Linked DNA regions of Drosophila melanogaster. The protein of the gene in region 2 purifies or fractionates together with the protein of the main gene of each other region. This does not show direct contact. Each region holds a gene or a part of one and is shown on either strand. Other genes may lie near its edges. The genes, in order: bru3, coro and mRpL23.

Region 1 (9,814 bases), on a different chromosome or scaffold from region 2:
AAAAGTAATTTGAACTGACCTTCGGAATGGAAATTGCGCCTTCAAATTAATTTACCCTGTGATAAAAGATAACTAGAAGAGTGTATTATTTGACTTGAGTCTAGCAGAAAGTGTACTAAAAATTCGTATAATAGCAAACGTATTTTCTTAATATACATTAGTTTGCCCCCTTAAGCTTGTGGTTCCAGAGCCTGACTGCCTCTCGCGCATTGAGTTCATTACCCCGTTGTGGTTAAGAAGGAGTGGCGGGCTTAGGCAGACTAATGTAATATTTAAGCGACAGAAATATTCACAAAAAGTTCAGCTTAATCGCAAGCTGCATCTGTTGCTATACCAACTTTTGCCTGGTATTTAAGTAAGGCATCAAAATTAAGCAAAACCTACGGAGTCTGCCCGAGGGAAGCCAAGCCCAAAACCACTTATTGCCAAAGTTTCGGCAAACTCCTTCATTTCATTATTGATTATTTCCAACCTTTATTTTCTACGCTTTATTTTGTTACAATACCCAGTTCAAGTTCCTCAGCTCTGAACTCTCTTTTTATGAGTACTTTAAAACTCCTCGAGTTCCGCTGACTTTTACTAACTTTGATGGCAGAAGCGCACGGATGAAAAGATTTGTGACGATTATTAAAAATAATTTTTTCCCCTTTTTGTGGCATTTAAGTGAGTAGCTGTAAAAATCTATAACGTTATTTTGGCGAGAAATAGAAAATTGGCAAAAATAGTATTGTAGTTGACTAAAGACGAAAACTTTAAAAATACCAAAATTGTACCCACATGTAAGGAACAAGACGAATTGTAAAGAAGCATTTAAGCTGACTTACAAAACTTAATGGTGCCAGAATTGCCAGGGCCTTTGAGAGGATTCTCTCTGTTTAAATCGTTCCACAGTAGTGTGATCTAAGCTTGTTTTGGTCCTTACAATATAGCAAATGTCGTCAAATCCATACACAGAAGTAAACATCCACAAACACAGACACTTATGGGCAGACCCAGAAAGCCACGGGCATTGCCTTCTAAGTCTCGTCCTTTTTTTCCACTGTTGTCCTTTTTATTTATCTCGCTTGCTCATTTTTGTGTTTTTGTTTTGCATTCTCAACGAGGCCAAACCGCACACACACGCACGCCCCCATGCAAATAACGCCACACACACACACATATACACCCATACACCCACACACATACACGCGCACACATAGACATGGTGAATGAGAAGAAGACAAGGCGTGACAAGTGCAGGCTTCATCCGAACGTGCCCTCTGCACTCAGCCCCTCCACCACCTCTACCTCCTCCCCCGACGCCTGTCAAGTCAACACCCTTCTCCGCCCGCTGCCATAACCAAAAAGAGGAAAAACTTTAACTAGATGCATATATAAATTGCGTTCTATATATTTATGCCCCGACATATATGCAAATGCATCATGGCTGCGCGGCAGTGGAGGCACAGCTTCTATTAAATATGCTTATTATGACACAAGCAAACATACAAACTTAATGTTTATTGGGTTCTTGGCGTTGGGTTCACAAGAGCAGAAAAAATATTTAATTGATAAATTCAGCAACGATAGCTTTACTGGCTGATTTAAGTGGATACAATTAAAACTAGTTTCTCTTTCTCTATTTGCGCAGTTCTTTCGATTTATTTGTTATAATTAAATTAATATGATTTATTTTAACCGATTTATTTGCACACAAAAAATAGTGTAAAAATTTTTTAAATATTGAAAAAAAAAAAACGTATAAACGCTAGTATTTCGCAGCTTTTTAAATTTGCCTTTAAATTGAGCTTCTGATTAATAGCGCCTGTTTTTTATGCCGGCAAAGTCCTTCCTTTTTTGTGTTAAAGATATCCTCTTCCATTCTCATCTGGTGTTTTCGATGTTTCTCCCTTAGGCTTTTTGGCTCATCTTAACTCACAGCGTTCCTTTTTAGTTTCACTGTCTCCATTCGTTTTGCCTTCCATAAATAAAATAAATGTAGGTGAAAATATACATAAATAATGGGCACAAGCGCGGCTTTTTTTATGAAGTGTTTGAATGTGCGAGTGTCAACCCAGGGCACTTGAAAGATGGTGGGGAGGGGGGCTTGTGATGGGGGCGACGTCTGTGAAAATTATAAAACAGACGACGCAGCCATTCTGGCGGGGCAAAGATATTATGGCCTCTGAAGGCTGAGAAGGGGACCCCTGCCATGTAGGCGTGTGTAAATAGCAAAAACCTAGTCGGGCGTACACAAGCCAAGTCATCATGGAAAATGGCTAAACAGGCAAAAGAATAAGGGCCAAAGAAGATAGAAAGATAACAGAGTGGAAGGCATGACAAATACGTTTTCTCTGCCTTTTTTTTATGGCATATACATATATGCCCCGAGGTAGTGGGACGTATAAAGTTTGACCTCCAATCAATAAATCACATTAAAAGGGGATCTTTCAAGAAATGAAGAGAATGACAATGGACAAAGATGGCCAATAACTGACCCATAATTGTTCATTGTCACGTCATTGTCCGCGTCAGTTGCTCAAGGCACATGAGAATAGTATCCAGCAAGAAATGTATTTATTCTTGGCCTCTTTTTCGTTCTTTTCCGCTAATTATTGTGTAATATTAATCTTATTAATAAATAACAAGGAATCATAGTATCCATATACTAAGAAACATCTCTCTAATAGCTAAGAAGTATCCTTTTCTTGTCACCTAGATCTCGCTTTTCTCCGCAAGCTAGATATACAGCCCAAGTATCCTTAATAAACACCGCACCGATAAATGACTGTTACTCATAGTATTCACCTAGAAAGGATGATGTACTTTTCCCCGAAATGAACACTTCGCCATTAAATGGGTGAGGAGTATCCTTTTTGTATCACTTGGCTCTGGATTTTCGCCGCTTTTCTCTCTTCATTTTCTTCTGGGCCAGTCAGGTCTCATCATCCGCTTGCGCTTTTTTCTCAGCTTTTGGCTTGATTTCCTTTTTTGTCGCTACAGCCAGAGTCCTTTTGCTCCGCGCTTGCCTTTTACTAGCCCAGACTGCGCCCACAAAGACGTGTACATATATGTGTTTTTCCAGCTGCCAAAAGGCTGCGCTTGGCTTCTTCGCAGCCAGTGTTTTGTTTTTGGCTTCGTCAGCCAACTTTAGCTATTGACAGACCTTGCCACCTCGCGTCCATGTCCTTGCTGGAAAACATTTCGCTTTCAGCGCTCATTTTGCAGGATGTCGGGAAAGTGATGTAAAAAATATACACAACAATTTCAAGATATCTTCTGTGGCCTATACTGCGTGCCCAAAAGCCATAATTATCACGCGTTCACATGGCGTATACGAGATTTTGCTGTTTCGCGTTTAAACTCTTAACCGAAATTTATGCTTTCGCTGTTGCTAATTGTACATTTTGTTGCTCTTGCTGTTTATAATGTAAAATTTATTGTGTTTGTGCATGTTTATTATCGCCACGCCGTTACGCGCCCTCATATGGATTTGTAACACGCCCCCCTACACCCCCTCTTTAAACATCACTGTGCATTTATGTTTTACAGCGTCTGCAAAAAATATTATCAAAAGTAATAAATGAATAACAAAATACAAAACAAACGCCATCAATAATTCATGGGAAAAAAAACAACACAAACAGAAATAACCAAAAATAAAAGCTTGCGGCGCGTCGTTCTTTAAATATTTTATAAATTAATTCTGCAAACAGCGTAAGCGAAATTAAAAAATACAACAAAAACATCAGGAATTAATGTAGTGCCTAATGCAATGTGTAATAAAACCGTGTAGACCAGGAGGTGCGCCAGATCATTAAATACCAGCAAACACTGTTAGGTGAAAAAAAAAAAAAAATTATGAAATACAAATTTATATTTATTATTGAATAAATATGCAGAGTAAATATTACATATGCTAACCGTGAAAACAAATTGAATTATACAGCAAATAAAACAACAAATACTTTTCGTCGTGTTTTCGAATGTTTGGCTATTAAAGCGCTTACAGCTTAATTGGGCGTTACAAAGTGGTAAGTAAAAAAATAAACACTTTTGATAAACAATTATTTTTGAAAATATAAATTATTAAAATGATTTTAGTCAAAAGTTTCATAGAATAAGAAGATGCTTTACATATTCATAGTGTTATATTTTGATATATGTCCGTTTCTCTTTTTATTTTTTTAGCCCACATTAATCAAACGACTATCTCAGTAAATTTGCACAGTATTATTATAGTTTAATTCATCGCACAAAAGACTCCTTAATCTTTCATGCAGCGATCTTTTAATATCCTCTAACTATTATCAAAACATATCAAAAATTGTAATTAAGATACCATTGCATTTCCCTTGGTAAATATATCACAGTTTTTTCTAATTTAAACACACGTACACAACGTCGTTCATGGCTTTATCAGCCAACTTTGCTGATTCAAAGATATCTGTCGACCCTCATCCATCAACAAAAACCCAACCACAAATGTCACATGCAAATTCGGTTCGCCTTGTAACGGAAGTGCAAGCAAAAAATAGCGAAAGATTTTTATACATAACTTTTTATGCTACTCATTGTTGGGAGCAGAAACTTCAACCTCCTTCCAACGGTTTGAGGTGGTGCTTGCTGCACTTTTGCGGCGAGGTGAGCTGTACGGGTGTGTGCACGTTTTTGCATTTGCACCACTTTATTTCAATTTTATTCGCCATTTTCTTCGTTTGCGTGGTACATTTCCTGGGGACGAGACGCAGCAGTGACTTTTGCTCGGCAGCTGACTCGACTCCACTTTCCGTTTACCCTGGGCTGCCCTCCTCATTACCCTCTTTACATTTCTAATTACACGCTCATTTTAAACTTGAAACATTTGCAAACGGATGCCTGGGTCTGGAGGAGTCTGCGATTTTCAGTAACAATTTTCCATTTCCCATGCCATGAGGCTGCAAAAATGTTGGGTCACAAACGTAATAGACCAGATTTTCCTGTGACTGCTAAAGAAACCTAGCTGGCCGACCACAAATGTCTGGCATCTAGGGCTTGATTTGGAGACAAGTCTTGCATTTGACAATTTTCTTTCATTTTGGGGCCTGAAAACATTTTCCTACAATGTTCTCAATATATTCCACTATTTTCGAGTTCATTTTAAGACCAATTGATATTACTAGTAGTATTTAATCTTAAATGTTCGCTTAGGGAATAGTAATTTTTAATTGCCGTTTTTATACTTAGAACACAAAAAGTAGACACTGTAATTTGCGAACCCTGGACATACCAAACGCGTTTTCGTTTTGTTAAGTTACTAAAAAATTAAAACAATGCTGCATGTCCATTTTGCATGTGAGGAAACATTTGGCGCGCAAGTAAATGTGCATGTGGGTGAGATGGTTTTTGCCGTTTCTAGACTGCTCTTTGTTTGAGTTGTGTTTTAATTTCCATATTACGTGCTGGCCAGAGATTTATCAATGCGATTTATATAAGCCATAATTTCTCCATTTCACCCAGAAGTAAGTTAGTAAATTACTGCAATCGCTTGCAACATCAATGGGTAAAATTTAACAGCAATAACCTTACATAAGATTTCACTATTTTCCTTTTTTTATAATAGTTTGAAAAATTTATATTATTAATTGTTTAATTAGAAATAGAATAAGTATGGATTAGAAAGTAATAATGAAGTGAAAGGAAGCGGCGTTGACTTACGTTGCCATTTGACCTTTTCAGGCCCCTTGAAGGGCAATTCTAACACACTGTCTCTCTCACAGGAAATGTTTATAACATGTCCTCCTTTGACAACTTATTCAATGAAAAGTTTCAAATAGTAGCTTATGAATAGTAAAAGAAAGATTATGAAATCTATTGGTAAGCGTTTAAAATGTAATTGAAATATTGCTCATACGCAGCATGTGCCCATTTATTGAAACTGGAAAGAATGCCAAGTTGGTTCATACCCAGTTGGCCCAATCAGGCCAATTCAATGACATAAATCTTAAGGCAATAAAGCAAAGAATGTCGCAGCATGAGACTATTATATTGTGCATACTGAGCTGGTAAAGCAAATCTCGTAAATGTACTAATATAAAATTGGTATTAATGGGCTGTCGCCTTAGGTGAAATTACCTTTAAGAATAATTGTATAAACAAGCAAGGGGATAGGAAGTTTAATAAGAAAGTATAAACTTTATAATTGAGAAAACTATTTAAGCCTATTTAAGCTTTTTTTATCTAACCTTTATCTCAACTTTTTCCGTTCTATGGTTCTACTTTTGCGTCTTTAAATTTAGCAATTGCCGCACTTGTAGGAAAGTTTCAATTATAAGTCAGTGTGCCAAAAATTGTTTCACAAACTCTAATTAATTTATAGTGCTTCACAACTCGTAGCTTAAATGGTGCAGTTGATAAATTGGCGAGATAAAATTATAATAATGCTGATGTGGAAATAAAATATGCAAAATACTTATTGTACAACTCGTTCCTATTTAATGATATCTTTTCTCAGTTACTATTAAATATGTTAATCTGCGCAAAGCGGCACTAAAAAAAATACACCAACACGCAGGTAAAACTGAAAATACCTTTAAAGAAAACAAACTTCAGCGGCGCTATCAACTGCAGATTTCGCTGTTGGTATTGCCAATTTAAGCGAAAATTAAATTGGAATTTGCAATGAATATTTGAACAAAAGTACACAGACCAGAGTGCGGTAAGCGAGCAGTGGTAATGGGATCGAAGCGAGAGGATGGGCATAGGCTGCATGAAATGAACACAAGTGTTGAGCAAAGTGAATGCGTAATGCGTTTTTGCACCCGGAACAGGACAGGACCACCAAAAAAAAAAAAAAAAAAGTCGGACGCTGTCAGTCACCCAGGTCCGTAATTTGCAGCCCGGGTATTCCGCTGAGTTGTTTCCTCCGGTATATGTGGTTTTTCTTTGATATCCTAACAAAAAGGATGAACTCATCAGAAAAGGATTTGTAGCTCTTCAGAAATAATGATTTCACATGCTCGCATTTACAAATACCACTTTTAATATTTATTAAGTCTTTTATTTTAGATGTTCTCTAATGTTTTGGTCCTAAAAAATTAAGTTCTGTACAGCACGCTCTTAAAGAACAAATAGAAAAAACGTTGGGCGCCAATCTTTCGTTTACATGTTAAGATAAAGGCTTAATCTATAATATATATACGTCACAAAGCTTATATTATTCCATAGACGATGTGAATAAGTTTTGAAATGAGTTTTCAATAGAGGCCTTCAAAATCAGGAAGTTGCTTTCTGATTGAGTGAAGCTTGTTTGGTAGGTCTCTGAAAATGTGCACGCCTGCCCAGAACAAATCCATTCCTTGATGTTGACCCCTTTAGATCGAACGGCAATTGCAATGGATTTGATTTTTCCATACTTTGCCGTCGAGCGTGACATCCACGTAGCCCTTCACGCTTCTCCCGCTTCCGCCCTTCTGTCACATGTGAAATTGGGCGGCTGACATGTTTGCCTGTGTTTTTTTTTTTTTTTTTTGCCACCACCTCCCGTTTTTCCATTGCTCATGTTAGAGTAGGTAATTTTTTAATGCATTTAAACGGCTGTCAAGTGGCCCACACACGCCACTTCGCTTCTGAAACCGCTCCACATTGCCTCCGTGCCCCATCCTTTGCCCTTTGTTAGCAGTTTTGGAAAGTGACGCGGCGCGAGCAGTTGCCCAAAAATATGCAAAAACCCGCGAGCACTTACGACAAGCTCGTTGCGAAGGCAGGAGGACTATATCAGGTTGCGGCCCTCAACAGCAAAGCAAAATTTAGACATTCAGCCTACAGTTTGGTGTTCAGTTTTCATTCACCGAAAAGTGAAACCAAATAGAAAAAAAATGCTTTTTCGAGGAAATAGCGCACAGTCGATGGGTAGTTAGTTGCTTGACGAAATTCGTTCATTGTCCTGTAGATTAGGAGAAATATAGCTACAAGGCTATGTCTAGTTGTATCATAAACAACAAGTCAGTTGCAGGATTGTTATGTTTGCAAAAATCAATAAGTTAATAGGAAATGGATCGGCATTGATAATACACATGCTGCTTGGCAGAACATCTAGGATTCGTTGTAAAACGTGCTTTTATTTCCCTTTGTTTTGAGCACTCACAACGTTGGCTTGCCTGTCGGAGCAGAGTCAAGTAGAGGACATACAAAATTGAAATAAAGTACAAACATGTTGCCAACTTTTTGCACAGCAGCAACAACAACAACAATAACCACTGTCTGTCATTCAGTCTGTCGGTCTGTGGAATGGTTTAGGCCCATAACAACAACAACAAACAACAACAACAACAGCGACGGAGAGCGAGGCAGGAAAAAGTTTTAACTGATTACGTTTGCTGTTGATAATGTTGAGTGACATTTGGTTTGCGTATTAACTTAAGTGAGCGACAGCAGCTGTCTGTCCCCCGCCAACTGAACGCATACACATACACACGTACAAATGTGGAGTGTCCTGGATCCACCCACGGATTCACCCCTTTTGGGAGCTCTCCGGATTGCCAGGAGGTTTGTATTTCAATTAAAAAATTAATTTTTTAATGTGACCCGCTGATGGGGCTCTGCATCCCGATGAATGGCAAATGCTTTTAGAAATTAATGTGGACGAAAGAAAGCCAACAATCGAGTTGGGATGAATTATATGTTGGTATAATGAATTGTAAAAGTTATTTATGCTGGTATCAGCAGCCATACCATATAATCAGGATTCAATAAAATCGTCAAGCTCTTTTTTACCCTCCACCTGGCTCAAGTAATTGTATACATTGGCACTAGAATCGCTCAGGTTGTATTTTTGTCGCGTTGCCAAATTCAAATATCTTTTAAGTCCTTTTTGCCAAGCCAATAAACCAGCACTTAACCGCAATTACCCCCCGTTTTTCGGCAAACAAGGGGGTCGGGCAAAGAGCAGCGTTTTTTATGCCACTCTTGTACTCGCAACCTCTTCTTTATCCTTTCTCCCAGCCACCCCAAAGCCCCCCTCTGAATGTGCACTGCAATCAGTCTTCATTTACACTTTGCACCTGGGGCGCTTGGCTTGCCGTTAGTCTCTCAACTCAGCTCTCGGTTCCCAAGGCCCACTACGTAGTACCCACTACCAACTACCTACTACCTACTACCTACTACCTACTACCCACGCCCCAGTTCACAGTTCAGAGTTCCCAGTTCAGTTCGGCAACACGAAAAGAGTGTTTTGGGGATGGAGTAGGATGGGTGCTTCTGGTGGGTCGGAGGTAAATCTAAACCGGGCACCCAACAACTTTAAACTCGCATGCAAGCTCGAAGGCCAGAGACACAGCGTAGTATGAGTTACACGGAAAAGAGTTGAGTTGAAAAACGGTGGCAAAAACAAAAATCTCTGCTCCCCCAGAAATCTGTTACAAGCTGTTACATACATGTTTATGGGGAGTATAAGTGGACGTGGCAGGATGGACTGACTGCTGCACATGCCATTACAATTTCGGGCGATGATTAACAGTTGGGGAGTGATTTTTGATATTACTCGTATAAGGCTAACAAGTTGGGCAAGGGGTAGCTTAAGCGTCTATCAACACGGTTTGTTGGATTGCTTACTGGTTTTTATTATAAAACTGTGTACTTTGTTTTGTTGTATTTGGCCGTGCTGTTGTTACAAAGTTGCCCTTTCATGTAACGAACAACAACCGACCAACTCACGCCAAATACAAGTCAGATGTTAAGGGTGAGGCAACCATTCTGATAATAGGTGTAGTCGTATTTCCGTTTCCCCGTTTTTCGCCATTCCCCCCCGACCAACCGTCCATCCATCCATATATTGTAGTTCCACTCTGAGTGAGTG
Region 2 (12,631 bases):
TAAATATCTTTGTGGGCTTGCGTCGGCCAGCATCTGTAGCCGAAATCGATGTTTGAATAATTGTAATTGAATTAGATGGGATTGTTTTGACTCTGGCTGGCACGCGTCCTTACACCATTGGCGCACACATCTCAGCTCGACATTTATTGGTAGAGCAAGTGCTGCACGGTAGTCACGTAGTTGGCAACTGGAGGCGGGAGGGAAGCAGCTCCGGAGTTCAAAGTTTTGTTTTGGGACACATGACATGCAAAGGCGAAATCACAAAATACTGAAACGTGCTTTTTGACATTTTTGCAATGTATTTAGGCACGTGCAATATCCATCTCGGGGAGTGTGTGTGTGCGATTCCTTTGCCAAATTGAATTTAGCTGCCAAAAGTGATATCGATTTAAAGGCGAAAGCCGAGCGGAATCGGCAGCAACAGCATTAGGGTCAATTACCGCTGCAAAGTGAATTGTCAACAAAATCGAAACCCAAAAGAGGCGGCAAACTGAATTCAACACATTGTCCAACTGCCAACTATCACACACACACACGCTCTCAGTCGATCCAGGATGTTCCAGGATGGGGCGCACTTTCATTATCTGTGCAAATATTTGCCAAAAATGGCAGTTGGCAGTTGTCTCCTGTCCTGCGAGAGTTGCTGGCCCGACACTTTTGGGCATCCTAGTGCAAGTTTTAAGCCGCTTAGTCCCAGCTCTTTCCCATTACCCCCACCCCGCTACCCACTCGACAAAGTGAAAGTTATTCTACACACAGACACTCGTTCAAACTAACCCTGCGGTGCACATTTCATAAATGTGGCTGAAGAAAAACTATTTTCATGTTCCTGGGTTGCGTGGGCCTTTGCGAAACTTTCGTCCTCCTATGTCGGCTGTCCCTCAACACAACTTTTTGTCTGCGCCGGAAACTATGGCCCATCCTCCCAGCAAGCATGCCGTAAATATTTGCCTGTGCGGCACAGATGCAAACACGTCGCCAGTTTGACTTTAAGACTCACCTGAAGGGACGACCAGCCACGAAGTTAACACATCAACTGTCCCGCAGCAGCAAAGGGATCAGCAGCTGCACTGACACAAAAATTTGGCGACAACGGACCTGAAGTTATGTGAATATTATGGTAATCTGAGAATAGAGCATTATAGAACCTATACCGTCATTTGCCTCGTGCAAATCATCCATGGGCATGTATTGTACATTTTGAATGAACCGTGGACTGTAGTTAACTTAGTAACGAAATGCGCCGCAAAGTCGCCAAAGTCTACTATAATTGTTGAGGAACGATACTTTACTTTGCTTTACCAATAACCAAACACGTAGCTTCAATATTTTTCCCACTGCACTCGTGCAGCAATAGTAGTCAAGGGTGAAGAAAGTTGGCCAACTTTCTGTGGGCATATATTTGGATGTGTTATTGGAAAATTTTCAATTTGCTATTGAGAACGTACGGCGGCGGTATGATGGGATGTGGTTGGTTGATCAAGGGCAGAGTGCGTAACAAATTTTATACTCCAGAAAGCTAATTAACTTCTCTTTACGAGGCATAAACTTCCGCCATTATACGCATTTATTTTCATGCGAAAATAAACAAATACCCAAACACGAGCCGCCGACACGAGAAAGTAATGTTTTGACGGCTCCTTTTGTGCGCGCGTATACTTCTTTATGCATTAACAGGACGAGGAGCACGCAAGCAAACACAAACAAAGCCACGGGCCGCGTGAATTTACGACAGAGCCGCCGTCAAGGGGGTTCGGTGGGGGTCCTTTTGAGGTCCTGGAGAGGCGATACCTCTGCTGGTACTTAGCAACTTTAGCAAGGAGTATTTATTTAGCACGTGTTCCCACGTCCTTCTGCTCCTGGCACATTTGCTGCTTGCTTTTAATTAACAAATGCCTTCCATCGGTTTCGACAATCGTAGAGCGTTAATGTTAATAGAAGGCCGTAAACTTACCTGGATGCGGAAGTAGACATAAATTAGGCTTGGCCTTTACTGCCGCCGGGCATCATAATCTACTGGCCCATCAAAAGTCATGATTATAACTTGATTTGATAGCGGCTTTGGTCCAATCTGTCTGGATTACTGAAGAATGCACAATCAATGTAATTTTTGCATAAATGTACTACCCAAGTTACTACCAAGGATAATCACAGTACTGACAACTAATGCTGCAGTAAGTGCATATAGTGTAATGAATTGTCCTTGGAAATTCATAAAGTTAGGTGATGTCCAGCTGGTTTTTTGAAGGTTACTTTTAAATTGGTAGGAAAGCCAAATGTTAAACAAGTTACCAAGCAATTTCAAGAATGGATACATCACTTGACAAATGACTTCTTAAATGGCCATTTTAATTCATCCATTTGACGGCCAGATCACATTTCTAATCACATCGTGCAAAAGCCACGTAGAATAGAACATTTATTTAGGGAAGAACCCTTCACCTTTGCATATAATTTTTTTATGAACAGTTGGAGAAGGGTTGGAGGAAACTGTGCATTGGGTCTTTAAACAAGTAAAGCGCTAAAAATAAAACAACCTACACATTTAGCTATCATTGCTTTACAAATTCCATTACCCTAATCCGAAACCGACTGTTAACTTTTTTCAAGACCTCATTACCAAATGGAATACTTTAAGCCAGTACTGAAAGTTTGTTACGATTAATTACTAACTGAAATACTCGTACATCTCGACGCCGGCTGAAATTTATTGACAGTCTGAAAAACGAAATCTTAGTTCAAAGTTAACAAATGCATCTATGACTCAGTTAATAATTTGATCGAACTTACTTAATATAATTGATAGTATTTAATGTTGAACTCCGAATATCAAGTCCACGTCTGGTTGCTCTAGAGCAGCTAGATGGCCTTTACTGTTGGCTAACCAAGATGGCCCACAGCTACCGACTGCAACCGATAATCGCTGAAACTTGCAGTGAGTCAAATTGCATAACAAACATAATTTTAATTAAATCAACAACTTGGTCGGCAACACACTATATCATAATTGCCACGCGCCACCCACAAAAGCGCACTTGGCCAAGTTTAATTAAAATGTCAGAATCGTTGTACACGTAAATTGTAATTGCATTTTTTTGGTTTGCTCGCTGAGGTAATAATTACACACAACACATCGGCAGTATGCTCAAAAGCTGTTTAGGCAAAATTAAACGAATTTGCATATTCAATTGAACCGAACACATAGGCTCGGCAATGAATAACGCATGGATGAGCTTATTTCTGCAATTAAAAGTTGTCAATTAGTTTAAAGTGCAGCTGGTAAAAATTCCATTGTCGACTAACATCTACATATTTGAAAATGCTGCTAAAAGAACACACATTACGAAAAGAATTAGATACGAAACACCTCCATTATTAGCACCCAACTTCTTCTGGCATTGTATTTTGTTTTATTCCGTATCAAATTGTAAATTATTTGTATATAGAGTATTTATGTATGTATATGTATATAGTCTTCATTTTACAATGGTTGTGAATTACAAAATCGGTAGGTGTTTAATGACGCTGCTCTCGCCCTCGGTTCTCTAACAAAACTAATGAAAGTAAAATCAAATGAAAGAAAAGAAAAGTAAACAAATTTTTATAAAAATAGTTTCGATGGTTTCTTACTTTCTTTCTGATTTTGTTGCATTTATTGTTACTCTTATTATTTCAAAATACAGCTTATCATTAGTTTGAACAATAAAATTTTGATTACGAAAACGAATTAAGTCCGATGACCCCCATCACTTTCTTACTAAATTCGCTATGTTTGACACGACAATTTGCAGGGAAATGTGACTGATTAAGGGGGCCTCAGCTAGGATGAACAGTATCGATTCTATCAGCTATTGTCATGAAAACTTCCGGGACGTACAAATATACAGACGTTACAGAAAGGAGCTCGTACAAATTTGGTAGGTAGGTGTTAACTCTTAAGTGATTGAGGTTTAGTCTATGATTTGCCTTTGTTAAATTTACAACAATTTCATACTTGCGTAACAACAAGCCGATCAAAGGGCCGAGTACCTGCCCTTCGCTCTGCTTGATTTTGGGCGCAAAATGTAGGTAGTTCGTTAGGTTTTTTATATATTTTTGGCAGGATGTAGTTTTATGTTATGTTTTATACGTTAAGCGTCCAGGTCTGCTCGGTTATGCTCGCTTAAGTTCGATTAGATGATTTAGCTCGGCATTCTCTAACCCTATCTGTGCCACACCCGCACTCAACTGATTTCGCTAATATTAAATTATAAAAAATAAATAATCGAAACCATAATGGTAATAGACAATAAGTTCTTTTTCAATTCGTCCTCAGCGCGCTTTGTTGCAATAGAGAAATTAAGCGTAGCTACGAGCTTCTACAAGCAGTTCTCTGTCTCTCCTCCAATCCATTCCGCCCATTTTTATCAGTTCAGTCCTCGTTTCATTGCTAGACCTAGTCCTCGTCCTTTGACGTTCCGGCTGATGTGGACGCGTGGTCGTTGGCACTTTCACTGGCTTTGCCGTCAGACGTGGCTGCTCCCGCTGAAGCCGGCGCAGCATCGCTTCCATTCTTGTTGCGGGCGTCCTCCTTGGCCTCCAGAGCGCGGATGCGGTTCTCTTGCTTGACGATGATCGCCTTAAGTTTGCGGATCTCGTCTTGTATGGTGCGCAGGTCCTTTTCCTTTTGAAGTGAACCAATAAGTTAATCATACAACCGCTGAAGGAGTGCAAGTACTCACCGATAAAACCGCTGCAGGCGGTCCACCTTCGCTAGCCTCATTGTTATTTCCGGACGCAAAGTTGCCGCCGCCCGCGCTGCTGCTCGTTGCACCGGAGCTAGCGCTGTCGCCTCTAGGCTTGTTCAGGATGTTGCCCGCCTTCTTCGCTGGTAGCGATTTGTTTACCGACGAGGACACGTAGCCACCCTGTACAATGGAAACGCGATCCTGATTAGGCGGGTAAGAAAATCTGTTCGTTTCAGAACACAACAAACAACAATGAACACAACGACAAGCGCCACGCGCATTCGCGTGCGTGTTAGGGCCAAGTGTGCATTTATGCGGCGTGTTACTGTATCCAATAGGAGACTTTAATAAGTTAGCTAACATTTAGAATACTAAACCATTTTAGATCATTGTGAATACTCTTTATTCCGGTCGTCACTAAAACATTCTTAAGATGCCTCGTCTCAAGTGACATTGTACAACGGAGAACGAGGACTGTAGTCTGTGTATTGGAGTGGAATGTGGCTGGGCGGACAAGGCACAAACGTAGATAACGCAGAAAAAACGTAAGTAAAGCAAGCGCAGGCATCACACGCTGGTAGGTAGCCACCGGCAAATGCTGGGAGTAAGCTTTAAACGGAACTCACAAGTAGCTCACTTGGAGTCCTTGTGCTAGCAGACAAAAGCAACTGCAAAAGCCGTTGGAATACATTGTAGAAGGGGCGTCCACAGTGGCAGCGACTGCCTCATCGACTTCGAGCCGCATTGCCATCTGTGGACAAGCCCCGCTGGCGCACATGCTGATATATATCCTATATCTTGTACGCTCTTATCGCCGGCGGAATGGTTGGCAGTGTGGCCGAACCGTTGCCGCATTCGGCGGCGAGCGCTGTATTCGCAACACGGAATAAAAGTCTGAGCTGCTTCTGCACCTTAGCCACTTACTTTGAGCGAAAATGTGATCGGATCCGCATCCTTGCCATCGATCCACTCCTCCGCGGTGATGGCAGCGTCTTCCGCTAGCGTATCGGGGTAGAGATCCTCCTGGAAAAGATCCGATTTGCGCGGCACAGTCATCGAGATGACCTGACACAGACCGTTGTTGTTCATGCGATAGAACTTGGCGACCTCGCAGGTGGTCACATCACAGCCTCGCTTGGGCATCAGACCAATACCACGCTGCGGCTCTGTAGTCTGAAACGTGTTTATGTAGTGCACAAAAGGAGGTTCGGGCGTTACCTGTTCGATGAGATTTTGGTTAGATAATATTCATATGTAATATTGTAGATTTACTTGTACTAACCTCGAAATACCGAATGACCGAGTCACCTTTTCCACACAAGTAGATCATGTTCGTGTCTGCGTCGTAAAGAGGGAACATTACGCCGTTGGACGTGTCCAGCTCCACCATGACAATGGGTTCGTTAAGGGCATCCGGTGCGCGCAGGGAGTACTGACGCTCCGAGCTACGGTTGAAGCCTGTGGTGAAGATCAGACCGTGACGTAGGAAAATGGCCCTCGTGGCCTTGGAGCCCTCATGACACATGGCTTCGCTCTCCAGCTCGGCAGTGCGCGGATCGTAGATGCGGATCTTTTTATCCTTGCAGGTGGTAACCAACTTAGAGCCATCCCAGTTGAAGCAGGCGCTGTAAACGATGTCCGGATGGGAGTCGATGTGCACGAGGATTTCACCAGTGCCCACGTTCCAAATCACGACCTTCGCAATACAGAGAGTATAAGCATGGGCTTCTGAAGAAGTGTTAGCATTCGCTCACCTGGTTATCGGAGCCGGCGGTAAGCAGCACGTTGAGCGCAGAGGGATGCCACAACACCAGACCCACGCGACGCTGGTGGAAAACCAGGTCGACCACGGGTTCGGTGAGTGTTCGCGACAGCCCGCCATCGGGGATCTGCCACACTTTGACCACACAGTCCTCTGAGCCGGAGGCGATCACGTTGTCGTTGTGGGGGCACCAGGCGATGTCCAGCACAGGACCCTTGTGACCGCCCACCAAAGGGTGGTCAGCCGCAATGCGACCAACCTGAAAGAGTCCATTAAATTTCAATTAGCTCGATACGCCACAGTAAATTTTTATAATTGATGGCGACTAAGTCATGAGCAGCAACCATTGCAAAACTGCAACCTCGCGACCCATTAGCCCAATTCCTGAATTATTATTTATAGCCGACTCCGACTGCACTCGGTTCTGCTATGTTCGCTAATCTGCCAAGCAGGCAATTTATAATTGTAAACTTCATGCCAATTGCTTCCGAATATGGCCCTAGAATTATAGAAAATTGGAATGCCGAATAGCTCCCATCGAAATCTATATATTTCGAAGCATATTATAACAAATAGTAATGGTAAACTATTTCAAATTTAACATTGTTATATATTATTAGATAATATTCTTTGTTCATCGCTTTCAATAAATGTATTAAAATGTATCATTCCAAAAAGTTTCTCGAATGAGTTCCATGAGTGTAAATCTATTTTGGTTTTTTCAAGAACTTGTGCTTGTTCTTGCCTACACTTGCCACATGCGGCCAACCTTGGCGACTAGATGGATCTCACTCATCATCCAGTGCCCATAAAATAAGTAAAATAGGGCGTGTGAAAGCCGCTCCACATAGAAATCATCACTTAAAAAAGCGGCAACTGCTTAGAGTGAAAAAAACGATCGCTTGCCGCGCGTTTTGCATACAAATTTTTGTTTCAAATGGAACGACCATCGGTGTACTTCCATATATGTTTTCATCAAAAGAGGAGCATCGGAAGATTAGGGGAATGGGTGCTTCTGCTGCCCACACTATTTGCTGGAGCTGCGCGCAAAACTACAACTAAACAGAAGCCCGAATAGCTGAATCTGGGGCAGGACGGCCAAAAGATTTTGAGATTGAAAATGCAATTTAGTGGAATACAAACAATTAGTTTTTAGCGGAATAAGTCGCCGAGCTGAGTGTGCATTTCGATGCAATGATTCGCCCGAATATCATTTTTGTATTCATTTAACTGGCTGCTCCTCTGCCTCTCTCTAAAATTAGACGATTTGTTTGTCATGTTGGCTAGTGGCCAAATTACAAAAGTGCGCCAGCTAGCAGTATCGCTGCCGCGGTAGTAGCAGAATCTATAACTATTTATAAACACATGTGAGATTGGGTGGAGTCATGCGAAATCCGTCGACGTCACTCGCGACGTGGCAACAAGCCCGCAAATGGCCGCAAACTTTATGCCAAAAGGGCGCTATAAATAGTTGCCCATTGTCTTGTTTAAAAATACCCCACCAAGCTGGCCGCGTCGGGGCAGACGCACGTAGACGAGTGCAACTATAATAGGTCCGGTGGCGCACTCACTTTGTTGTGTGGCAGGACGATGAAGGCTCCGCCGCCCGCCGACTCTACGATAATGGCCAGGAACTTGGGATTCACCGCGCAGAATGTGGAGTCCCAGCTGGACTTGGATACCCGTATGTTGTCGTAGCACTGCTCCCGCTTGAGAGCCTGTCCGTAGACGTGGCGGAACTTGGAGCTGCGCACTACGCGAAATGACATCTTGATGCTGCAGTGGCTTGGGTCAGCGATCAGTCCTGAGCTTCTCTACGTCTAGCTCTGAAAAGAAATGAGACGTACGAAGGATAGTTAGCAATGTAGGGGAATTTCTTACGCGTTTGGTATTTTCCACCCTTTGCCCTTAATAACAAGTCTTCAAGCGAAATCGTTTAGCCGTATTCTTTCCGCACCTGAATGAGATATGAAACCCCTACTTTTTGGCAGAGATTTGAACACTCATTTGATAGGTTTTGTTTTCTACACAGTTCTGTGAAACCTGAAAATCGTGATCTTAGCCTTATCCGAGTTCTGAGCGACGCATAAACCGACCGAATAGCAATGTTATTCGCTTTCAGCTTCGCTCACTTATGTGTTAGCTTAACGCGTTTTTCTTTCACCGCGCTTCGCAGCCTCGATTAGTTCAATAAATTTGCATATGCTAATTTCGCTTGTTGCGAAAATCAATGAGCTTTCCATTCGCAGCTTGCTATTGACGCGCTGACTTTGTCCGCGAGAGGTTGCATCAAATTGCTTATGGCATCACTAATGTTGGCGACTGAAAGCGCCGGAAACGGCGGGAGGCGCCTAGAACGCTTTCACCTGCCACTTGGCAACTGCCACATTCGGGTCCACTTTCGTTAATGAAGCGCCAGCCGGAACGTGTCGAACTATCAGTTTTCCATACCCCTTTCTTTCAGGATGACATCATAACGCCAAAATAGCCACTCCAGCAATGAGTAGCCTTCCAACACGTAAGTTATGGCTGAGCAAACCGATCCCGCAGGCCAACCTAAGCCCAAACATATACCTAACACTCCGGGAGACTTCTAGATAGCTACGTGTTTGAAGCAGAATTCATTTCTGGGTTGGGCCGAGCCCGGCAGGCTTCCACTCCGAACAGCTTTCGTTTTTAATCAGAGAAGTGCCATAAAATTATTTGCCTCTTTTGCCTCGTTGCTTCGTTTTGTTTTGCTCAAAGATATTCATATTTATTGCAAGCACTAAACTTTGTCATTGACCCCTTTAAACTGGCCCCAAAGCAGACCCCAGAATTGATTACTTTCTACGCTGTCTGTTTTTGGCCACAAGGTGAGCCCCGGAGGGCTTTGTTCTTGGGTGGGTGTGGGTATCGACATGGCCTCTCCACTGATAAGGAAATATCAGCTCGGAGTTGGCTAAACACCACAGAGATAATGTTAAGTGCTACGCCTATGTAGTCCAAAACGACGCCGAAATGTTTGCCACCAACTGGAAAATACTCCTAAGCACTGTACCCGGAATATATCTATCTATATATATATATATATATCTGCGGCGTGTGTATGCGTTGTTATTTATGTGTTTATATGCCAAACACCTTCGTTTGCAGGCGGGAAAATTTTTGTTTCGCGGCTGAAGGTCAAACTTATTAATAGAAAATTAAATCATCTTAGGCGAAATGAAATTTTCATATACAAACACAGTGCACGATGCTCAAAGCAGCGTTGTAAATCGCATTTGATGTGTTTATTTATTTCGTTGGCATCGCTGGCACCTGCCATGCCTGAGTTATCATAGTCGAGCCACCCCCATCCACTCCCACTTCCCCGATCGATCATAATTGCATTCGCAATTCCGCTCGCAATGGCCAAAAAAGTGGCCTCTTCTGCGCTTAATCAACTTGACCGTCGGTGGTTTTATCAGCGGACCACTCAGCGATTAACGGAAGTGTGGGTTCAAGAAAATCGCTGAAGAAATGAAAATCTTTGAAGAACTCATTCCCGACGCCCATTACCCGGGTGGTGTGATTGAATACCCAGCATCACATTGCATTCCATTCTTTACAGTGGGCCCCAAATGTAAGGCTGTTTCTGAAGATATTCGAAAGGAAATTAAGTCAAAGGTTCAAATTAGTACCGGATCTTCAAAACTCACATTAGATGGAAGTCCACAATCTACCTAGTTATTGTGTTTAAGTCTAGTATTATATTTATTCACAATAGATGTCAAAGGTGCGAGCGTCACTAGTTTCTCAAATTGTTCAACAGTGTTTTTCTTTTCTTCTAAAAACTCGCTTGAGTACATTCGGAAATTACCTATAACCTGCGATTCTGATCAGGAATATATTCTTCATAGGGTCGGAATCGTTGCAACGTTTTCGACGAATCAGAATAAACTTCTCTATAAATGAAAGGTATGTATACCTTAATAACAATGAAATGGGGTTAAATAACATAATGATTTTGATAGTATAATTAGAATTAATAGAATTCCGTTTGAAAAAGGTCTTGAAAAAGGTCCTGAGTCAGATTTTGGTTCTAGGAGGCGTCTCTGCCAGAATTAGAAACAGGCTGTTGCTGAATCATTATTGAAAAGTAACCAACTAATCCGCACGCCACTTAACCAGCGGGTGTCAACCAACTTTCAGCAGCGACTGTCTTGTAATCGCGTTAACCATTTGACAATGGGGCTGTTGTGGGGCCCTCCAGCAATTTGTGTTGAAATCGCGAGAGATGCAACCGTCGCTGAATTGATGCGAATGCGATGGTCCAGCGATCGGGGACTGGCCGAGAATTGACTTAATGCTTGATTGCAAATCTTGCCGCTTTGTCGACACGTTGTGTTCACCGGCCACTTCCGTTATAATGACATCTCTATTCCCCAAGTACACTCGAAAAAGAATCTATTAAATGTGTAGGACCACATGCCATCATGGTTTCCGGATTAAAGTAGCTACAACTGATAGTTCAAACTTTTCCTAAAGCATAGGGCACAAAACCATTCTTGTATAGACAAAACTGTTATTAATAAATATGTATTAAACATACTCCGCTTAACTCATGTGTAGAGTTATTGGATATGGAGTTTTGTAAACTCAAGTGCTTCCCTTTAACGTGTCACCACAATTACATAGAGGCAGGTGGTTTAAAACAAAATTAATACTATATAATTATGGATTAAAACTTTGTCTTGATACGTGAAGATATCAGACCAGTTGTAGCTCAGTCAGGTGTTATCAATACGGCATCATACATTGTATACATATATGTTTGCGTTGCGCGGCTTGGTTTTGATTAACTCGTGGTATCTTTTCTTCCTGTGCACAGCTGCAGCGACACCTAATCAGCTGGCCAATGATCAATGCCACATGCATGAGTCACCCCTGATAAGGGGCCCGCTGTTTATCGGCTGTCGGCTGCACTGGAAACTTTCGCCGTTCGCCTCATCTCGACTGGATGGTGAGGTTGATGGCGATGATGATGATGATGATGTCATTGATGCAGGCGCAACGTCATTGGTTGTGCAGCTCATATACATGCACATACACACACAGGCGTGTGTGTGTTGAAGGTTCATCAAACTGATTGCAGAGTGTGCGTGCCTGACGGCGATTAGCCAAAGTTTTTGACAAAAAGCGCGCAAGTGTCGCGGCAGACTCACTGGCTTGCAGCACAGTGGGTGTCGTCGCTGTACGAGTGAAAGTGGAACTCTGCTGCTAAAATTAACCCCATGCATATGCAGTGCCCCACCCGACACCCATCACGTCCCCTCGCCATCACAAGTGGCGCTGGCTTTTGTTGCTGTCTTAATTGCCGCTCGTTCTTTTTCTCCCCAGCTCCCCCCACTGTGACCGCCATCCGTTTGTTTCTATTTTTCCATTTGCGCTTAGTCAGACCGGGCGGCAATTGTGAATGCCTGTGCACCCTAGAAATTCAAAGTACATGGATTTTTTTGAGACCGAATGGGCGAATAAAAGTACCTTTCCCTTTTAAGAATTACACATTCGATGCCTAACTATAGCCCTGAACGCGTATTCCAGGTAAAACGATGTCTACCTGATTAATGTGAAACGTGAAGCACTGAGAAAAAATTATCCCGGGATTTTAGAAAATCACCTTTTATTCTCAAACGCTATAAAGACGAGCAATTGAACAAAGAAGACTTTTCTTACGTCTAGAGATATCCATGTAATATTCATTTTAGAAAAGTTAAATCAATGGTTTTAGAAAAGCTTTCAAGAAAATTTTTTTTCTTTATATGTATGTTGCCATTACAAGAAAAAGAAAAATCCGTAACTAATGTACACTGATGCTTAAATGGGTGGAGATATTTTGAATCAATGACGGTTTCCTAAAATCAAGGTTAATTTTATTCTAGGTGTAGTCAAGTAAAAGTTAATTTATCCAGATATGGCTTAGAAATAATAGATAAATCACCCTATGTAGGTTTTGTAGATTAAATTCTAAATTAAGGTTTTGGGCTTTCTTAAGCATTATTAGCGATCTATATTTTTCGGTTCCAAGTCTATGATGATGATAATTTCTTAATTTAATATTAGTGGGTGGACTGTAAAACTCCAACTTCAGATGTTCCTTCTATCCAAAAGGGTATTCAAG
Region 3 (8,128 bases), on a different chromosome or scaffold from region 2:
ATATGGCAAGAAGTCCGGACAAACCACCTGCAGAATTCTAATGGGCAGCCAGAGCATCAAGAGCACTGCAAATCCAAAGATCATAGCCGAAGCGACCAGCCGCCGGATGTGTCTCACAATTGGTACATGGATCATTTCCTGGATGGGACTGAAGTCAGGATCGTTGACATTGCGGAATATCCAGAGCACTCCCGGTCGCAGCACCTCGCGCAACAACGATACAAACGCAGCGAAGTAGTAAACGTATACCATGCCAAACATCCAGTGGACAAAAAGTGAGGTGCCCGGAGCAGCCTTAAAACTCTCTTTACGATCCTTGAGGCTGGCATCTAGTAGGGGCAACGAACAAATGTCCAGCCACCAGCCGCAAATCAGCGGGAGTACTCCGATCTCCAACACCGACAGCAGCGACACCTTGACCACAATATAGCACAATCCAATGAACCAGCAGACTCTCCGCAGGCGGAAAACTCTGGAGAAGAAGTGCAGCACCACCAGGGTCAATCCAATGCAGCAGTAACCAAATAGCGTGGTAATCAGGCCGTGAAAGTGTAGCAGTGGTTTCTCGGGCTGCAAAAGATCCATGGAGCTCAGAATGAAGTTGCCCACGCAGTAGGGACAAAAGGCGAAGGTGAAGATGAACATGGTGTTCAGTGAGATGATCCAGAAGACGTGCTCCAGAAAAACTAGCGAGCCATCGAGTCCGAGCAGGCGTTCCCAGGTAAGCTCCTCGGCAGCCCGATCCCACTCCATGGGATTCCAATTCTGCTCATCGGCATCGGCGTCCACGACGGGAGCTGCAGCCGCTGGTGCGGCATCCTGGGCCTGGGCATCCTGCCCATCGTTGTCCGCTGGAGCCGGCGCTTCATTGTCGTCGGCATTGTTGTTGTCGTCCTGAGGCTGTGGAGCTGCCTCGGCGGCGGGATCAGGCGCAGGATTAGCAGCCGCTGCCTGTAGAGGGGCATCGTCCCGCTCCAGCCAATCGGGTCCGCCGCCATGCAGGATCTGCTCGCGCAGCCAGACCAATCCTATGAAGGACAAAAGTGTGCATGTGACCACAAAACAGCCCCGAAAGGCATCCGATGCCAGGTTTTCAACGGAGAAGATGTCAAAGGGCAGCGTGAGAATCATATCGAAGGAGCTCGCCCGGAAGAGGTACCGATAGGTCCTGTAGGCAGACAGCGGCACCACTCCGAACCAGGCCAAACCGACCAGGGTGTAATGAAGCCAGCAGCGAGCGCCCTCCAAAACGGCGGACATCAGTCCCACAAGGACATCCTTTATCGGCAGGACTCGCGGCATATCCGGAGCATAGATGGGCTGAAAGCTGAAGCTGTAGCTGCACAGCTCGCAGTATTCCTTGTGCGAGTAGCGCATCCATAACATCAGGCAGTCCTGATGAATGTACTTGATCGATCCAGTGCAGATGCACGGGTAGAAAAGAGGCCTATCCGGCTGTGCCTCGCATCTGCACACGCGGCAAATGTCGCCCTGCGACAGGTCGTCCATACTGATAACTTTTTCCCGGATCCTGGGTCTTCAGTTTGACTGAATTACTAAAGTTCCACTGGTCATTTGCGAAATTCGCTGGACAATTTCCGTAATTGACCCGAGGGTACGGGGGTTTTAAGACGATTATACCCGCCTTTTATGTGCGCCAATTAACCTTTCGATGATTACGGACCGTAATGCGATTGTAACACTTGAATTTTAACCGAAAAGTTGGGATATTATTACGACAAAACAAAACAAGACTACTTCTCAAAAAAAGGAGAGCCAATGTGTGCACACCATGAAATTGCTGATTATTTTCTCAACGGAGATGCCAACTAGTTCGATAGATTGAGAGAACGAAATATCGTTATTCATTTTTTAATCATAAATTGAAAATTAAAAAAGATTACATAGTTATGGTTAATAAATATAAGTTTTTAACTTAAATAATATAAAACAAAATTATCATGACCGGGAAGTAACAGTTAATGAAACAGTGTGTGCACACATCATTAGGCAATACCAATCCATCTGGCAACCCCACCACACTCATTGTTGTTGTTCTGATTCTCTTGTCATTATTTTGCAATCAATCGCTGAACTTTTTGCACTGAGAAATTGTAGAAAATAAGCCATGCAGCGACAGATTATTAACATTCTGGGACAGACGACGCGTCGCCTGGCTAGCGGCCAGCAAATTCGCATGCTGTCAGTTTCTGCGCCGCGACAGGAGATCTTCAAAGTCCAGAGCGCCGAGGACTTTGACAAGAAAGTAAAGAACAGCCAGCAGCCCGTGATTGTGGACTTCTTCGCAACGTAATTTTTATATTTTCAATTTGAGGACATGGCAAATTAATGTTTATATTGTAATCCACCAGCTGGTGCAATCCCTGCAAGCTGCTAACCCCGCGCATCGAGAGTATTGTGGGCGAACAGGCCGGTTCCATCAAGCTGGCCAAGGTGGACATAGATGAGCACAGCGAACTGGCTCTGGACTACGATGTGGCCGCCGTGCCCGTGCTAGTGGTGCTGCAGAACGGCAAGGAGGTGCAGCGCATGGTGGGACTCCAGGACGAGGACAAAATCCGGGCCTGGGTTGCCGCCGCCGTCAAACAGGCCAAGTAATAATTGAGAAATCCCAAAAAAAAAGTGGAGGTTGACCTCCTCGCAAATAAAGCTGAGCTTTAGGTTAATTCGGACTTTCGAAATAAATGTTTATTTACCCGTTGAAACGAAAAGTACTACGATTACACACTAAAAACTAAATGGAAAACCAGCCCGGCGTGCCGGGTCGCTTCTTGTTCCTGTCCAGAAATCTGCGGAAACCGGCTTTCGATTCATCCAGCGACTTTTCCTCCTTGGCCTGCTTCTCAGCCTTTTCGGAAAAGAAGTCGGGGAAGACAAAGGACTCCTCCCTGGGCTGGAATACACAAATATCATTGGAAATATCCATTGAATCAGGGGCTTGTAGTGGGCCATACCAATGTTACATAAGCCAGCTTCACGTCGTCTTTTTTGGTGATGTAGCCGTAGGTCTGATCCTTCTTGGTCTCGCCCATGGCAATCCGAGTACGCACATCCACCACCGGCAGCTTGTAGATCTTCTCCAGATAGTTACGCACATCGTACTTGGTCATTTCCATGGACACCGAAAAAGTGACCACATTGGGTGGCTGTTCCTCCGTGGGTCGGATTAGCTTCATCCAGAAGTTGGGAAGGAAAACGCGAAGCTGCGGATTGCCGCGCTGATAGATGGGATACCACCTCGTGGACATGATCTAGCCAGGATCTAAGATTCTAATTCAAGAATACAAAAATTAAATTAATTGTTGTGCGTTTATGAAATGCACTAAAAAAGGCCAAAGGTTTCGGGCGGACACAGGCGTAGCAAGGGGGTCGCATAAGATTGTTAACTAAAACTTAACGTATATATTAATTTAAGTTATTACGCTGTAACTATAAAATATTCCACACTTTTACCACTTTTAAAAAATAATATCACTAAATCTAGATTCCTCTCAAAGAACTGTTACCTACACCCGTGTAAAAGCACGTGGGTTGTCCAACACTTGTTTTAAACAGCTGATTGTCAACCACAACAATTTTTAAATTCGGTCCGGCTGAAATCTCTGGTAAAGGCCGTTTAAAATGGCAAAAATAAAGAAAAAGGAGGCGAAAGCTAAACCTTTGACTCGCAAGGAGCAGAGAAAACAGAAGTCGGAGTTCAAAAAACAGAATAAACGACTTTATTTCGCCGGCAAAACTAACGGAACACAGCGCGTGGCGGCGGCGGCAGAGGCGTTGGCAGCGCAGTCGCAGCTGGGCAAAAACAAGAAGAAGAAACGGAGCAAGAAGCCCAAAATAATAAATCCAGATGAAATACCCAAGGAGCAACTTTTGTCCGGTGAAATAGACAGCGACGATGACGAGTCCATAGATTCGGATTTCAGCGATGCGGAGGTGGATGCTCTGCTGCCCGCAAGGGAAAAGATGGAAGTCTATGAACCTCTGGGAAAAAAGGTCAAGAAAACGACAGGAGGCGCCATCCAAAGACAGGATGAAGAGGCGGTCAGGCGGAAGGAACTGCGCCAGCAAAAGGAACTGGAGAGCAAGTCCAAGAAGCAGCGAATCAAGCAACTTCGCATAGAGAACGAGGAGGATGATCGCGAGATCAACAAGCTGGAAAAGAAGCTGAAGCTCAACAAATCCAAGGACAAAAACCGCTTGGTGCGGAAGATGTTCAATGATGGCCTGGACTACCTGCTTGACTTTGTCCTGGATGACGAGGAGGAGAAGCGGAAGTGGGAGGAGAAGCAGGAACGTAAGAAAAAGCTGAAGGAGCAGCAAGAAAAGGAGGAGGCGGGAATGTGGAGCGATGAGGAAGAGGATAAGGAGGACAGGGATGAGCCCATGGATAACTTCTCAGAAGATGACAGTGGCTCTGAGGGTGAAGATGATGATGAAGACCTAACTGGAGAGGAAGAACAAAGCGAGGAGGATTCGGAGCAGGAAGAGAATGCACCTAAGAGTGAGTACATTCATCGTTTAGAGTTTTTCATTTAATTAACGAATTAATTACAGTTAAAGAGGACATCTACGGACGCAAACGCGACGCCGAGGGAAACATCCTGCCTGATCCCGTGGAGCTCGAGGCCTCAGCCGCCGGTCAAAAGTACATACCGCCACATCAGCGAGCTTTGATGGCAGCCAGCGCGGGATCAAGTGAAAAACAGGCAGAGATACTAGCTCGCCTTCTAAAGCAATGCAAGGGTCTGCTCAATCGTTTGTCAGAAGCGAATCTGCACAAGATTGCCGCCGGCATCGAGGAGCTGTACATGAAAAACTCCCGCTACAACATGAACGAAACACTAACCAAGTTAATTCAAGAAGCCCTTCTCGGCTACACGCGAACCAACGAGCGAATGGTACAGGAACACATGGTGCTGCTGGCCTACCTACATGCCCAGGTTGGCAGCGAGATTGGAGCGCATTTCCTGCAGACTTTTGTGGAGTTATTCGATGGTTATGTCAAGAACATCGCTACCCTGGAGGTGGAGGATAAGCAGCTGAATAACCTAGTACTGGTGCTCTGCTACATGTACCTCTTCAAGATCTACGAGCTGAATTTGCTGATGGAGCTCATAGGCAAATTGTCAGATCAGCTTTGCGAGAAGAGCGTGGAGTGCCTTTTGCTGATCTTCCAGTCCATTGGCTTCCGGCTGCGCAAGGACGATCCACTGGCCTTTAAGACCATGATGCAAAAAGTTCAATCGCAAATTGCTAGTGCCCCACTGGAACTGAAAGAGAATCCACGCCTGCGTTTCATGGTCGATATTCTAAATGCAGTCAAAAACAACAATATGCAAAAGCTGCCGCAGTATGATCCCGAGTTGGCGGAGAATCTGCGAAAGCGTTTGAAGGCCATGCTGAAGAATGATCGCTACGTGGTGACTCTGAACATAACCCTGGAGGACCTCCTGCGTGCTGATAAAGTGGGCAAATGGTGGATTGTGGGCTCTGCCTGGACGGGAAATCTGGATGAGATGGGATCCGCCAAGCAAAAGCAGGATAAGAACTCATCGAAGTCTGCCAACGGAGGTTTTGCGGATCAGCTACTGGAGCTGGCCAGAAAGCAGCAGATGAACACAGCCGAAAGGAGGAATATCTTCTGCATCATCATGAGCGCCGCCGATTATGTGGACGCCTTTGAGAAGATTCTGCATTTGTCTCTGAAGGACCAGCGAGCGGTGGCCTACGTGATCATCCATTGCGCTCTGAATGAGAAGCGTGCTAACCCCTATTACGCTCATTTGGCACTTAAGTTCTGTCAATTCAACAGAAAGTATCAACTGGCTTTCCAGTTTGCCAGTTGGGACAGAATCAATGATATCGAAAAGCTTTCCAAGCCGCAGATTCGCAACCTGGCTAGTTTTCTGCAGCAAGTAATCCTAGCTGCTGGTCTGCAGCTGTCAGTGCTCAAAGTAGTCGACTTTATGCAGCTGGACAAGCTCAGCTTTTACTTTATGAAGGAAGTGATGGTCAGGCTGCTTTTGGCTAACGATGAACGCGAGATTTATCAGACGTTCGAAAGAGTTGCCAAAAACACCAAACTGCAGCAGTTTAAGCAAAGCGTAAGGCTCTTCCTGCAGCATTTTCTTTTGCAAGAGGAACAGCTGGACAAACTTAAGCTGAAGGACGAGGATCGACAGCTTCTGCAGCAGCGCGTTGATCACATAGACAAACTTTTAGCCTATGTGGACCTGTAGTTATAAGTTGTAAATTTGTAAAATATTCATAATGAGGATGCTATAAAACAAATAAAGGACAAGTTTTTGTAAAATAGGAAGGCATGTGTAATTTATTCCTAAGGCAAAAATTAACAACTAACATAATAAACTAGTCGAAGCTTTGGAGGAGATCGCGTGCCCGCCGGTACTGCGTGGACTCGATTAGCTTTCGCCTTTCCGCCTCGTCCTCCAGCTTTTCGCCCTCCTTGTCCAGTTTCTGGATCACCTCCTCGGCCAACTGACTGATCTTTGAGCGCGCTGCTCCCTGGGAACTGGCCAAATACTCCAGAGCAGTTGGCCACAGCTCGTCATCCAGTTTCTCCACATCAAAGGCGGTTTGTTGTATGGAAATCTGTCGCAGTTTGTTGAACTTCCAATCCTGGCGGGATTCCTTCCATTTTAGAAGATATTCCTTGTTGACTTTGGCATCTTTGTTGGAGCTCTGACTCTTTTGGGCCTCGAGGCGCTGCTGGTGCTTCTGTTTCTTCTTTTGGCGCACTGTAACCACTGCATAAGCGTTCTCCGGACGAGCTGCTTCTTTTAGTTGCGCTGCTGTGGGCTGGGAGTCCACATCGTCGTCTTCATCCGAGTTATTTTCCTGCGTTTTGCTGCGTTTCAGCTTTTTGGTTTCGTTGGCATCCTGGACTTGTTTTCTCTTCTGAGGCTTCTGAGGAAGACTTTCATCGCTTCCACTGGTGGCCACCTGCTCCTCCGCTTGGTTTTTCCTGCTTTGTTTCTTAGTGGCCGATACTTCTGATTCTTTATGCCGCCTCTTGGCGGGTTTATCTGTAAATGTTGGACATGTTACACAAAGCCGATATAGATTTGAGCTGAAACACACCTGTTGGAACCTCCTGTTGATCTACCTGTGGAGCTAGAATTAGACTTTTGTTGGCCACCTCGTCGTCGCTGGCCGCATGCTCAGGGTTCTTAGTCACCTCGTGCTTGCGTTTTTTGCCCTGGCGCTTGACCTTTTTCTCCAGTTCAGTGCGGGCCATTTTAGAAGCGTGTCGTTTAAAAATTAACTTTGTACACCAAGGTTATTCAAAAGAAAATTTAAAAAACTTCTTTAGTTACAAACAAAATGTGTTTCTGTCTGGCGTTGCCAAGCTGGGCCTGAATACCGCTGTTAGCCAACACTGAAAAGTGGGCTGCTTTCGCAGTCTGGCACCAGACTCACCATATGACTAACCACAATCAATCTGGCAACGGCGCCAAACAAATGCCAAATCTTAGCTTTCGTTTAACAATAAATAATCAAAACAAAATAAGCAAGCTATAAATCATAAAAAGTGCATTTCGCGTGTGTATGGGCAGCGCCTATGCCATCCCACCGTCTCTTTTTAAACGAAATCGCGCCAAAATCAACGAAATACGTGTCGTCCTAAAGGCGCGTAAATAAAACCGGTGTGATAGTTGTGATTAATTAATGTAAGAGTGATTAAGTAGTTAACTAAGCTTTGATTAAGGTATAGAGCGGTATTAGCCATATTACAGGTAAGTCTATTGCGAATTTGTACATATACCATTTTCAATCCGCGGCGGCAACAACAAATCCAGCCGGCAAAATGCAACTGTTTACTTGCGCGTGTGTTTGTGTTTTCGGCAGTGCGTGCGCGTATGTGTGTGTCACCGGCAAATAAATATGAAAATTCCTGTTTATCGGTTTTAAAACGACGAGGAAATATCCAAATGTAAATTTAAAAGCAAGGAAAGGCGACATATTGATGAAAGCAAAGGCGGGTGTCCTGCAACAGCTGTTGTTTGCTTGGTGGAGTGGTCGCAAGGTCCTGCGTTCCGGCTGCATTTTTCAAGGTACGTACAAGTGTGGGTGTAAGTCGCCATCA

What was found.
Region 1: the proteins of coro (region 2) and bru3 purify together in Drosophila melanogaster (affinity purification with mass spectrometry, with the first as the bait; one large-scale study listed by BioGRID). This does not show direct contact.
Region 3: the proteins of coro (region 2) and mRpL23 purify together in Drosophila melanogaster (affinity purification with mass spectrometry, with the first as the bait; one large-scale study listed by BioGRID). This does not show direct contact.

What each region holds. Positions count from the first base shown.
Region 1 is NT_037436.4:13,792,223-13,802,036, reverse strand, and holds the start of bru3 (bruno 3), read left to right. Parts: upstream 1-3,509; 5' UTR 3,510-4,013; intron 4,014-9,814.
Region 2 is NT_033778.4:6,858,627-6,871,257, forward strand, and holds coro (coronin), read right to left. Parts: upstream 9,170-12,631; 5' UTR 8,941-9,169; intron 8,899-8,940; exon of another isoform or gene 8,856-8,898; intron 8,515-8,855; exon of another isoform or gene 8,371-8,514; intron 8,316-8,370; 5' UTR 8,259-8,315; coding exon 8,061-8,258; intron 7,259-8,060; coding exon of another isoform or gene 7,241-7,258; intron 6,749-7,240; coding exon 6,482-6,748; intron 6,424-6,481; coding exon 6,010-6,423; intron 5,946-6,009; coding exon 5,652-5,945; intron 4,929-5,651; coding exon 4,722-4,928; intron 4,664-4,721; coding exon 4,436-4,663; 3' UTR 3,634-4,435; downstream 1-3,633.
Region 3 is NT_037436.4:2,370,154-2,378,281, forward strand, and holds mRpL23 (mitochondrial ribosomal protein L23), read right to left. Parts: upstream 3,552-8,128; 5' UTR 3,532-3,551; intron 3,526-3,531; exon of another isoform or gene 3,444-3,525; intron 3,349-3,443; exon of another isoform or gene 3,292-3,348; 5' UTR 3,270-3,291; coding exon 2,976-3,269; intron 2,915-2,975; coding exon 2,756-2,914; 3' UTR 2,691-2,755; downstream 1-2,690. Other genes in the region: CG1317 (uncharacterized protein), read right to left, coding at 1-1,509; CG8993 (uncharacterized protein), read left to right, coding at 2,129-2,310, 2,373-2,619; CG9004 (uncharacterized protein), read left to right, coding at 3,643-4,522, 4,576-6,260; CG15877 (uncharacterized protein), read right to left, coding at 6,391-7,067, 7,123-7,279.